2 linked regions of the Mus musculus genome follow. Each later gene encodes a partner of the first gene's protein in a complex. Links are inferred from orthologs where the notes say so. Each region holds a gene or a part of one and is shown on either strand. Other genes may lie near its edges.

What was found. Proteins that work in one complex are often made in the same cells at the same time.
Region 2: Sart1 (region 1) and Lsm5 share a complex: the UniProt entries of both Homo sapiens proteins name them as parts of the U4/U6-U5 tri-snRNP complex. The link is inferred for Mus musculus from reciprocal best matches to the Homo sapiens genes SART1 and LSM5.

Annotation. Positions count from the first base shown.
Region 1 is NC_000085.6:5,385,614-5,390,653, reverse strand, and holds the start of Sart1 (U4/U6.U5 tri-snRNP-associated protein 1), read left to right. Parts: upstream 1-1,950; 5' UTR 1,951-2,026; coding exon 2,027-2,339; intron 2,340-4,784; coding exon 4,785-4,842; intron 4,843-5,040. Other genes in the region: Tsga10ip (testis-specific protein 10-interacting protein), read left to right, coding at 1-45, 457-592. UniProt on the Homo sapiens protein: Plays a role in mRNA splicing as a component of the U4/U6-U5 tri-snRNP, one of the building blocks of the spliceosome. May also bind to DNA.
Region 2 is NC_000072.6:56,701,439-56,706,299, forward strand, and holds the start of Lsm5 (U6 snRNA-associated Sm-like protein LSm5), read right to left. Parts: upstream 3,262-4,861; 5' UTR 3,231-3,261; coding exon 3,185-3,230; intron 1,972-3,184; coding exon 1,876-1,971; intron 1,596-1,875; coding exon 1,568-1,595; intron 731-1,567; coding exon 658-730; intron 1-657. UniProt on the Homo sapiens protein: Plays a role in pre-mRNA splicing as component of the U4/U6-U5 tri-snRNP complex that is involved in spliceosome assembly, and as component of the precatalytic spliceosome (spliceosome B complex).

The DNA of each region.
Region 1 (5,040 bases):
GCTGGCCGAGGCAGGCAATGCTGAGAGCACCCCCCGGAAGCACAGGTGAGGGGGGACAAGGTACCCGCCTAGTGTTCTCCATGTCACCCAGGGCTATTGTCCCCACCTTCCACTGAGACCAGAGTAGGACCTTACTTGAGGACAAAGGAACAAATACACAGTAAAGCTAGTCTAGGACTCTAAGCAAGATAAGCCAAGCAGCTGGTGCCACTCTGTCACCCTTCAGACTGTCCCTTACACCTTAGAGTGAGGAACCTGGTACAGAGAAGGGATTGTAAGATTCACTTCACAGTAAAACCAACCCCCAAACAACTGAGACTGCAGGAGGGGGTGTCACTTTTCAGGGTTACACAGCAACTAAGTATAGGACTTAGATTTAGATCACAGGGTAAAAGGCTGCACTGGGCATGGAAGAGGGTGCTGTGGAGCCCACTGGTCTCCATCTGTGTCTTTAAGGAGCAACCGATCACTTAGAGCAGAAATGGAGCCCTCTTCTCAGAGCCCCCCCAAAACAGAGCCAACCAGCAGCCAGCCTGGAAGACGCCCCTCCCCAACCCTGGACCCAGACTACAGTCCCCGAGAGAAAAATTAAACGCTTTATGGCCAAGTACAGTGTGAGACTTCTGAGGGGAGTTGGCTGTGGGTCGGAGATAGGTAGCGGAAGTGGGTGGCAGAGGTTGAGCTGTTTCCCCCACGCCCTGGAAACCCAGGCTACACCTCATTCTCAACAAGCCGTCTCTCTACTGAGGCGTGGGGCACCGGAAAGGAATCCGCTGAGACTTTGCCATGCTTTCCCCAACATGCCAGGGGACCTAGAAATCTTAGTGAACAGGACCCTGCCTCTGAAGGCGCTCAGTCTCGGGGTGGACCTTCAAAGGTGCCCATCCCCCACACCAAACCACACCAGCGAGGTGCTACACCGGAAGTCCAGAGAGGAGCAACGACTATCAGATGGGAGTGTGTGAACCCTTAACTTAAACCCTTAACCCTTTACTCAACCCAAAACAAAGCAACCAAACTAAACAAACAATCAAACAAACAGAAACCCAGGAAAAGTCGAGAAAAGCATGTAATCCCAGCCTGGGCTACATAGTTAACAGGCTAGACAGAACGGGAAAAACAAAAAAAGGAGGGAAAGCATATACATGCACAAATGTGCCGAATTTGCACTCAAGCCTGGAGTGGCCATGCACACGAGAGGCTGACAGAGGGACTGTGGTGGGTTTGAAGACAGCCAGGGGTAAGTAACAAGTACTAGACCTACCTTTACAAAAAAAGAAAACTAGAAACAAACCATCACTCAGTATCACCAGGTTTATAGGCACAAATTCAAAGAGCACTCCAAAGCCTAGTTAAAAAGGTCCAATCCAGCTGGGCGGTGGTGGCGCACGCCTTTAATCCCAGCACCTGGGAGGCAGAGGCAGGCGGATTTCTGAGTTCGAGGCCAGCCTGGTCTACAGAGTGAGTTCCAGGACAGAGAAAACCCCTGTCTAAAAAATAATAATAAAACGGTCCAATCCATCAGTCTAGGGGACATAGGATGACGGTAGCGTTCGCTAAAAGAAAGAGTATTTTCCAACTCTGGATGGAGCCCCGGCACTAGGGAGCTTGCTTGGACAGTCACTGGAGAGGGGGCTGCCCACAGAGAGACTTGAGGCACAGAGCACCACGAAGCGATCAGAGTGGAAGGGGAAGGAGGCAGGGGAAACTTCTAGCTCCGGAGATGATGACCCAGTACCATGCTAAAGTTCTTACGGCTCTACGACTACCATCTTAGATGGCGCGAGAGGGTGGACGGCGCAGTCTCTACAGGTGCGCGTGCGCAGAGACCAGTAGCTGGCAGGCGGGACCGCGCACCCTCAATCAGTCCCTCCCGTGAGCCTTTGGAGGTTCCCAGGCAGGCCCCGGAAACAGCCCCTCTTAGTTTCCGGCAACAGGAACGGGGCGGTCGCGCGACCCGGAAGCGTTCCCATTTCGCGTCGTCTGGGCTAGGGTAGCGGCCCGGCTCCAGGCGGACGCAATAATCATGGGGTCGTCAAAGAAGCACCGTGGCGAGAAGGAGGCGGCCGGGACGACGGCTGCGGCCGGGACTGGGGGCACGACCGAGCAGCCGCCACGGCATCGCGAGCATAAGAAACACAAGCACCGGAGCAGCGGCGGCGGCAGCAGCGGCGGCGAACGACGGAAGCGGAGCCGGGAGCGTGGGAGTGAGCGCGGGAGCGGGCGGCGTGGGGCGGAAGCCGAGGCCCGCAGCGGCGCGCACGGTCGCGAACGAAGCCAAGCGGAGCCCTCGGAGCGGCGCGTGAAGCGGGAGAAACGCGATGACGGCTACGAGGCCGGTGAGGGCGGGGCCCGGGGGCGGGGCAGGGTCTTGGGATGCCCAGGACGGAGGGTACGGGAGGACCTCGAGGGCCATCTGCCTCTCGGGTTAAAGACGTCCTCCGGGTGTTTGGGGTTAAACGTTGACGTCTCCACGTTAAGCTTTAAGAAGACAGGAGTCTTCCTGCCTTCCCTGTCTTCCTGGCACTTCACAGCAATGCATTGGGTGGGTGAATGAGGTGGGACGAGCGTGTACAGACAATCGACCAATAGCTCATAGCGGAGACATGAAGCAGTAAGATAGGCTTGGGTCTGAACCAGCGCTGTAAGCCCTGTTGAGAAGTTTGGGCTTTGTTATGAGGATGGTAGGGAGCCAAGGATTTGAGTAAGCAAGTGACTTGAATTGCATGATATTTTATGAAGATCAGTGGGTTGAGAGCTTGTCAAACGTAGGACCAGAGATCAAGAGATCGGGAGGGAGGTCCAAGCAACCAGGTGAGGGCTAATAGTATGCATGTTTCTCTATGCAGCGGGCCGGAGAGAAGTGGACAGATTGAATAGGAATTCGGTCTGATTGGCCTGGTGAATGGAGGTGTCATCTGTTGGAACTGAGTTTAGAAGAGAAGCAGATTTGAGGCAGGGGAGAATGACACAGTTTTGGGAGAACTTTATGTTTGGTGTATATGGGAAACCTTACAGTTTAAGTGAGATAGAGTGACTTTGGGCTGGTGTGTATTCAGGAAACCAAAGAAGTGCCTTAGAACATGTGGAATGAGAACGAGAGTCAGGCATAGAACCTGCTAAATTCCAGTAGTTCAGTTGTGGGCAGAGGAACATGTTGAGGAGCATAAATAGTAGCCAGTGGCAGGAACCCACAGTCTGCCCATAGGATCTATGCAAAGAGAGCATTGCTGAAGTGTGATCCACCACAGGACATTAATCTTTTAAACAAAGGATTGTTTTTATGTTAATGCATTTGAGTATTTTACCCTCATGTGCCCGTGCCAGCAGAGGTCAGAAGAAGGCATCGGATCCCCTGGAACTGAATTAGATGGCTGTGAGTTGCCATATGGATTCTGAGAACCAAATTTGGGTCCTCTGTAAGAACAGCAAGTGCTCTTATCCCCTGAGACATCTCTCCAGTCTCCAGATCAGAAATTTTCTTGAAAGTAATCTGCTAGTTGGAAAAAGGGAGACTTGGGACTTGACAGTTCCCACAGAAAGTGGAGTGGTGCCAAGGCAGAGAAAGGGACTGTTGGGTTAAAGAAGAGAGTGACTGCAGTGGTTGAATACGGCAGAGATTTTTGAGAAGATGCCCTCCTGGTAGGGCCTGGTTGGGGGAGCTAAATTTGATGCATCTTCCTCTGTATGGTGTTTGTTGAAGTTCTCTTCTGTTTGTGGGATGGGTAGAGCAGGTCCAGGGTGCATGCCTGCTTATTTATGTTCTTGTTTATGTACATGTACCTGTTCAGCAGCCATGGATGAGCTGGGTTACCCTGAAAGGGGGGCTGGAAATGAAAAGGACTGGGTGCGAGAGAAGGATGAAGCCAAGACAAACGTTTCTGCACGGCTCAAAGTTCAATAGTCAGCCCTGCATTTATATAGGGAGAGCCCGCAGATTTGTTTCTGCTGGACTGAGCTGCAAAGTGAGCTCAGTGGGCAGTCTGCTCCTGTGGGAAGTTGACTCCACCTGGGTCTGGGTCGTTACTGTAGCCTGCTCAAGGCTGGGGGAAGGGCACGTGTATACATCGGGCGTGGAACACTGCTGTGGGCAGAAAGGGCCAGAAATGGTGAGCAGTGCTGTGCAGTTGAAGGCAGAGCCTTAACTCTGGTTAGTAATTGAACAGGGCTTCATGGTGGTTCGAACTCAGAAGTCCACCTGCGTCTGCCTCCCAAGTGCTGGGATTAAAGGCGTGCCCAGCCCACTGCCCGGCTCTTGATTCTTGATAGAATTTTATCGGGGCTGGTGAGATGGCTCAGTGGGTAAGAGCACCCGACTGTTCTTCCGAAGGTCTGAAGTTCAAATCCCAGCAACCACATGGTGGCTCACAACCATCCGTAATGAGATCTGACTCCCTCTTCTGGAGTGTCTGAAGACAACTACAGTGTACTTACATATAATAAAAATAAATAAATTTAAAAAAAATAAAAATTAAAAAAAAAAAAAAAAAGAATTTTATCATAACAAGAGCAGAAAGGACAGTGGAGGCTGAAGGTACAATATGGAGTGCCACAGTGAGGGATGCAGAAAGTTGGGCTGTTGGGTGAGAAGGGAAGGTATTGGAAGAGGCAGTCCTGCCAGCCCAGGGCCTGGGTAGGAGCTGTCAGGGAGCTCGGGAAAAGCTCCTGTCCTTTACCCAGGTGCTGGTGAGGGGCCCTTGTCTTTGACCTTGCGGCTGGACCAGCAGTGTTGCTTCCTGGTCCTGGTTCATGGGTCCCTTAAGCCGTTCTCCTTATTGTTCTAGCTGCCAGCTCCAAAGCCAGCTCTGGCGATGCCTCATCCCTCAGCATTGAGGAGACCAAGTAAGTGCCAGCTCCTTAGAGTCTGCTTTCCTCAGAGACAGGGTGCACCTAGGGCAGCCTGCAGAAAGCTTTTCATCATGGGTGGAGCCAGTTGGAAGGGCCAGATGAGTCAGGTAGCCAACCAGAGGAGCGCTAAGAACCAGGAGGAAGGAGGATCCCCTGATGTGGATGAGGGCCTGTGCCTGGTGTCCTCAGGAC
Region 2 (4,861 bases), on another chromosome or scaffold:
CTAGCTGACGTCTAAGTTATTAATGATTCCGGATGAGCTAGAAGTCGACAAAGATTAATAAGCAAGCTAATCCTAAGGACTGTACTGGCTAGTTTTGTGTCAACTTGACACAAGCTGGAGTTATCACAGAGAAAGGAGCTTCAGTTGAGGAAATGCCTCCATGAGATCCAACTGTGGGGCATTTTCTCAATTAGTGATCAAGAGGGGAGGTCCCCTTGTGGGTGGGACCATCTCTGGGCTGGTAGTCTTGGGTTCTATAAGAAAGCAGGCTGAGCAAGCCAGGGGAAGCAAGCCAGTAAGGAACATCCCTCCATGGCCTCTGCATCAGCTCCTGCTTCCTGACCTGCTTGAGTTCCAGTCCTGATTTCCTTTGGTGATGAACAGCAGTATGGAAGTGTAAGCCAAATAAACCCTTTCCTCCCCAACTTGCTTCTTGGTCATGATGTTTGTGCAGGAATAGAAACCCTGACTAAGACAAGGACCAAAGCACTTTCAACAGCTGCCCTGAGGCACAGATCACCAAGGCTCCCTTCCCATCCTCAGTGTGTCTATCTCAGTGCCATGAACATTGCCAACGAAATAGAAGTTTAAGTCAGTTCCATAATCCCTACACTACAAAAGTAAAATAATTTCCAGAGAAAAGTTTTAATGTCTTACCATTGTTATATTATTTCCATTTAGTAGAATTTGATCTAATTTTGTAATTCTTCTTCCTTCTGGTGTAATTTCACTAAAAAGATAGATTAAATGGAGTCTGGATAAACAAGTAATCAAAGGCAGTATTAGAAACACTTTCCCTCCCTAAAAGTCCTACTGGGGTAAGGAGAATAGCTTGGTGGCAGAGCACACACACAAGGCCCTGGGTTCAATCCCTAGTGACAAAGCTGTTATTCTTACACATGATTCAATGTGAACGCATATAATTACAGTAAATATATACAGAATACAAACTGCCCATTGGATAATACTCATGTAAATATAATTCACCATAAAGCTTGTTCACACTAATTTCTTACAAATTCAGGAATAATATGAAGATAATAATCCTTTAACTGGACCTCACAAACACCAGTAAATAACGTTTCAGTATTAAGGTATTTTCCAACAAGTAATTTTTTTTATATCGATCATACTAAAGCTGCTATGGAGGTTTAAAGGAGAATGGCCTCCACTTGGTCCTCTGTTGGCAAACTGGAAATGATTAGGAGGTGTGGCCTTTTTTGGAGGAGGTGTATCACCCTGTTAGGCTTTGAGATTCCAAAAACCTAAATTATACCCACTTAGTGCGCTCGCGTTCTCTATTTACTTCTCTCTCTCTCTCTCTCTCTCTCTCTCTCTCTCTCTCTTGGTTATTATCTAACATATAAGCTCTTAGCTAGGACAGTCAGGGACTCTAACCATCTGAAACTGTAAGCAAGCCCCCAGTTAAACGCATTCTTCCATAAGATACCTTTGTCATGCTGTCTCTTCACATTAATAGAAAAAAGTAATCAAGGCACCATCTTTAATTAAAAAGAGATTTCCTCCCCTCCTCTCAAATTTTTTTAATTTTTTAAATACTACTCACAATTCTGTGACATCTTCCAACACCATATCTGAATTTAATGTTAAGAAAATAAATAAGGTTTATTCAGGTATATGTTTTTGTTTGGTTTAAAATATGTTCAACACTATGATAGTGCAAATTCAAAAGGTTTGTTGTTGGCAAGAGCCCTATCAACTGTCAGCAAACACACCTCTTAAAATACTACCAAGTTCCTGGAAAACAAAATTATTCTTAATGTAATAACCAGAAATTCTTCGGTTGTCTATAGTTCTTTCTTATATTAATACATCTTTAGAAACCTACACCATTCCCGCTTTTAAAAAGGATACTGACAAAGTCATCAAATCCTAGAAGTGTCCCGACAATTTCTTTATCACTCTTCATCACAATGTGAATTCTTGACCCTATACATTTGTCCACAAGCTCTGTGGAAGGAAAAGGGTAATTTTACCTACTTATTAGATCGACCAACATTTGAATGCCTACTTCACTTATTATTTTTTATCATTAAAGATAAGCAAAAACATTCAGTTTTTTGCTATTTATTTATTTATTTACTTACTTTTATTAATCATTCCATCTGTTTACATCTCAAATGATATTCCCCCTTCCTGGTTACCCCTCCACAACACCCCTCCCATATCTACCTTCTCCCCACTCCCCAATTGCTTCTATGAGGGTGCTCCCCCACCCACCCACCCACTCCAGCATTCTCCTTATGCTGTGGCATCAAACTCCACAGGATCAAGAGCCTCCCCTCCCAATGATGTCAAAAAAGGCCATACTCTCCTACATATGTATCTGGAACCATTCGGTAATTTTACATCTTACACAAATCTCTGTTTAATCGTTAGCACAAATGTTTGCCTTAGCTTTCACTTAACTCTTTATTTGCAATTAATAGGACTGTGATTTTTATTTAGATTATTTGATTAATGTATGAAAACACACACCATGAGGTGGGTGGAGACCATAACTGTTTTTCTTCATCAGTGTTTGTACCGATAAACAATATCTAACACTGCAAAAACTTTCAATCACAGACACATTCACTAAGCTCACCAGCCCCAAAACATGACAAGGGAGAAGCATTATTACAGACACCGGCTTTCCCGTCACTCCTTCTCTCACTTAACCTTAACTCTCTGTGCTCCTGGGCCAACCTGTTCATCTCAGCATCTTAGAATTGCTCAGCACGATGCGTGCCGGTGTGCGATCTTGAAAGCAATGGCTGTAATTCAAGTTCATTATTCAACAGTTCTCTGGCACTGCGCGGGAATTGCTTGTTGAATTAATGAACGACGGGGCTAGTTTCCAGATTTCTATTGTAAGATTCATTGTATGCCGTGGCGCACTCCTTACCCAAGCCAATACAGGGTCTACCTGATCTGGAGACCAAGAAGGCCAAGCTGAGAACTGGGACTGCGCGACTCATGACATCTTACTGGCGAGCTCAAAAAGGCCGAGCACGTCCTTCACTAAGTGGGACCCTCACCGACCACCGACAGGCAAAACGGTCTGTCTGTCTGCCCAGTGACGCCAAGGACCGGACAGCCGGGCCCGGAGGGGCGGTGGCCCAGCCTCGGCCCCCAGCGTGGAATTGCAGCAACCCGACCGCTCCCCAAACAAGACTTTTACCTAGTGGCAGGAGTTGGGACGGGTTCGTGGTCGCGTTAGCCGCCATGGCCACGCCGGAAGTGGCTAAGGACACCGGCGCAGACTTTAAAATTGCGCGCTTCCGCCCTTTTCCACAGCTGGTTCAGACAAGACTAATCCAAAGCCGATCTTGAGATCCAGAGGATCCCAATGGATCGCAGACAGATTCGATAGAGAGGTTCGGATCTCTATCCCTGCCACCAACCCAACAGGCACCTATGGTACCCCCAAGTTTTGCTAAACTTCAGAGATAATTTGCCGCCGGAAGACCAGCATACGAGATCTCTGAGTCGGTTAATTTTCCTCTAGAAGGTTGCATTTCAAGCCTGTATCTTTCTTCAGAGCAATAAAATCAATTTATATTTCCTACTATAAACTCGTTCTGCATGCTCCTCAACAACTACTCATTTTTTTTTTTTTAAGGAATCTGGTACTTTTAAGGCCAGAGGACTGAAAGTCTATAAAGCAGCATTTTTCACAAGCTTTTTTTTTTTTAGAAAAAACAAACAAACAAACAAACAAACAAAAAACTTCTACTATTATTTAATTTCTTCTTGTCGTTTCTAGGTGTCTGGTTTATTACAGGCATTAAAGTCACTATCAGTTTTCAATTTGCAGGCAACCGTAAGATGTCACTCTGTATGTTGACTCCATCATGTTTGGAAACCTTGCTATCACACTTCTGCATTGGAAAAGATTAAAAAGCCCCCTTTTAACGTGGAGTGGCCAGTAAACCCAACACTTGAGAGACAAAAGGAGGCATCTGTTGCAGGCATGGCCCTCTTAGACCCCGACACAAAATAAGAAATTAAAACTAACAAGGGCTAGCTGGTAGCTTGGCTATAGGGTACTTTCCTAGCATTCATGAGGCCCGGAGTTTGGGCCCTAGTGTTTTTTGTTTGTTCGTTTACGTGCTTGTTTTGTTGTTGTTGTTGTTGTTGTTGTTGTTGTTAAAGCAGATAAATACTTTGCCTTTGTCCATCTCATGTGACAGACTTAAAACCAAACAGCCTAAATATGAGAGATGAGCACCCTTCATTCCTCCATTGAAAAAACATATCAGTGGAATATTGTTTGACTAGCAGCTTGCTGGATACATAAAACAATGTTCAGAAAAGTCTTCAACCAAGAGAGTGGGAAGGAGGACAAATAGTACATTTCATGTGCACAGCACTATGGGATTTAATATGGAAAGCAATGAAAACTCAGCTCCATTCTCAATTCCAAGCCAGTGGTGGCTTTTTTTCCTCCACGCCCAATCTATAAGTCTTACAGATCTACTAGGTCCCAAGGCAATTACAAACACACTTGACAGCCATCCTTTTGAGGTAAGAGTCAGGATTAAGTTCCTTGTGCTTAAAACAAGTTAAAACACTGTCCCTTGGCCACAGCTTGAAGAACTGAGGAGTTGTTGGGAGTCTTCTCACACAGTGACTAAGAATGGGTAAGCAGAGAAGAGGCAAAAGCCGCATTCTGAGAAAAGGAAACATTGTGTGCAGTGGATGTGTGTCACTCCAAGCTTCTCTTGTTGATCTTGTCTTTAAACCATACCCATTTCTCCCACATTGAGCATAAAACACTTGCCTTTTCAAATCCATTTCCTGAGTAACCCCAGTCTTCACTCATTTTTTTTTCTATTTAACTGCATGATACTGCTCA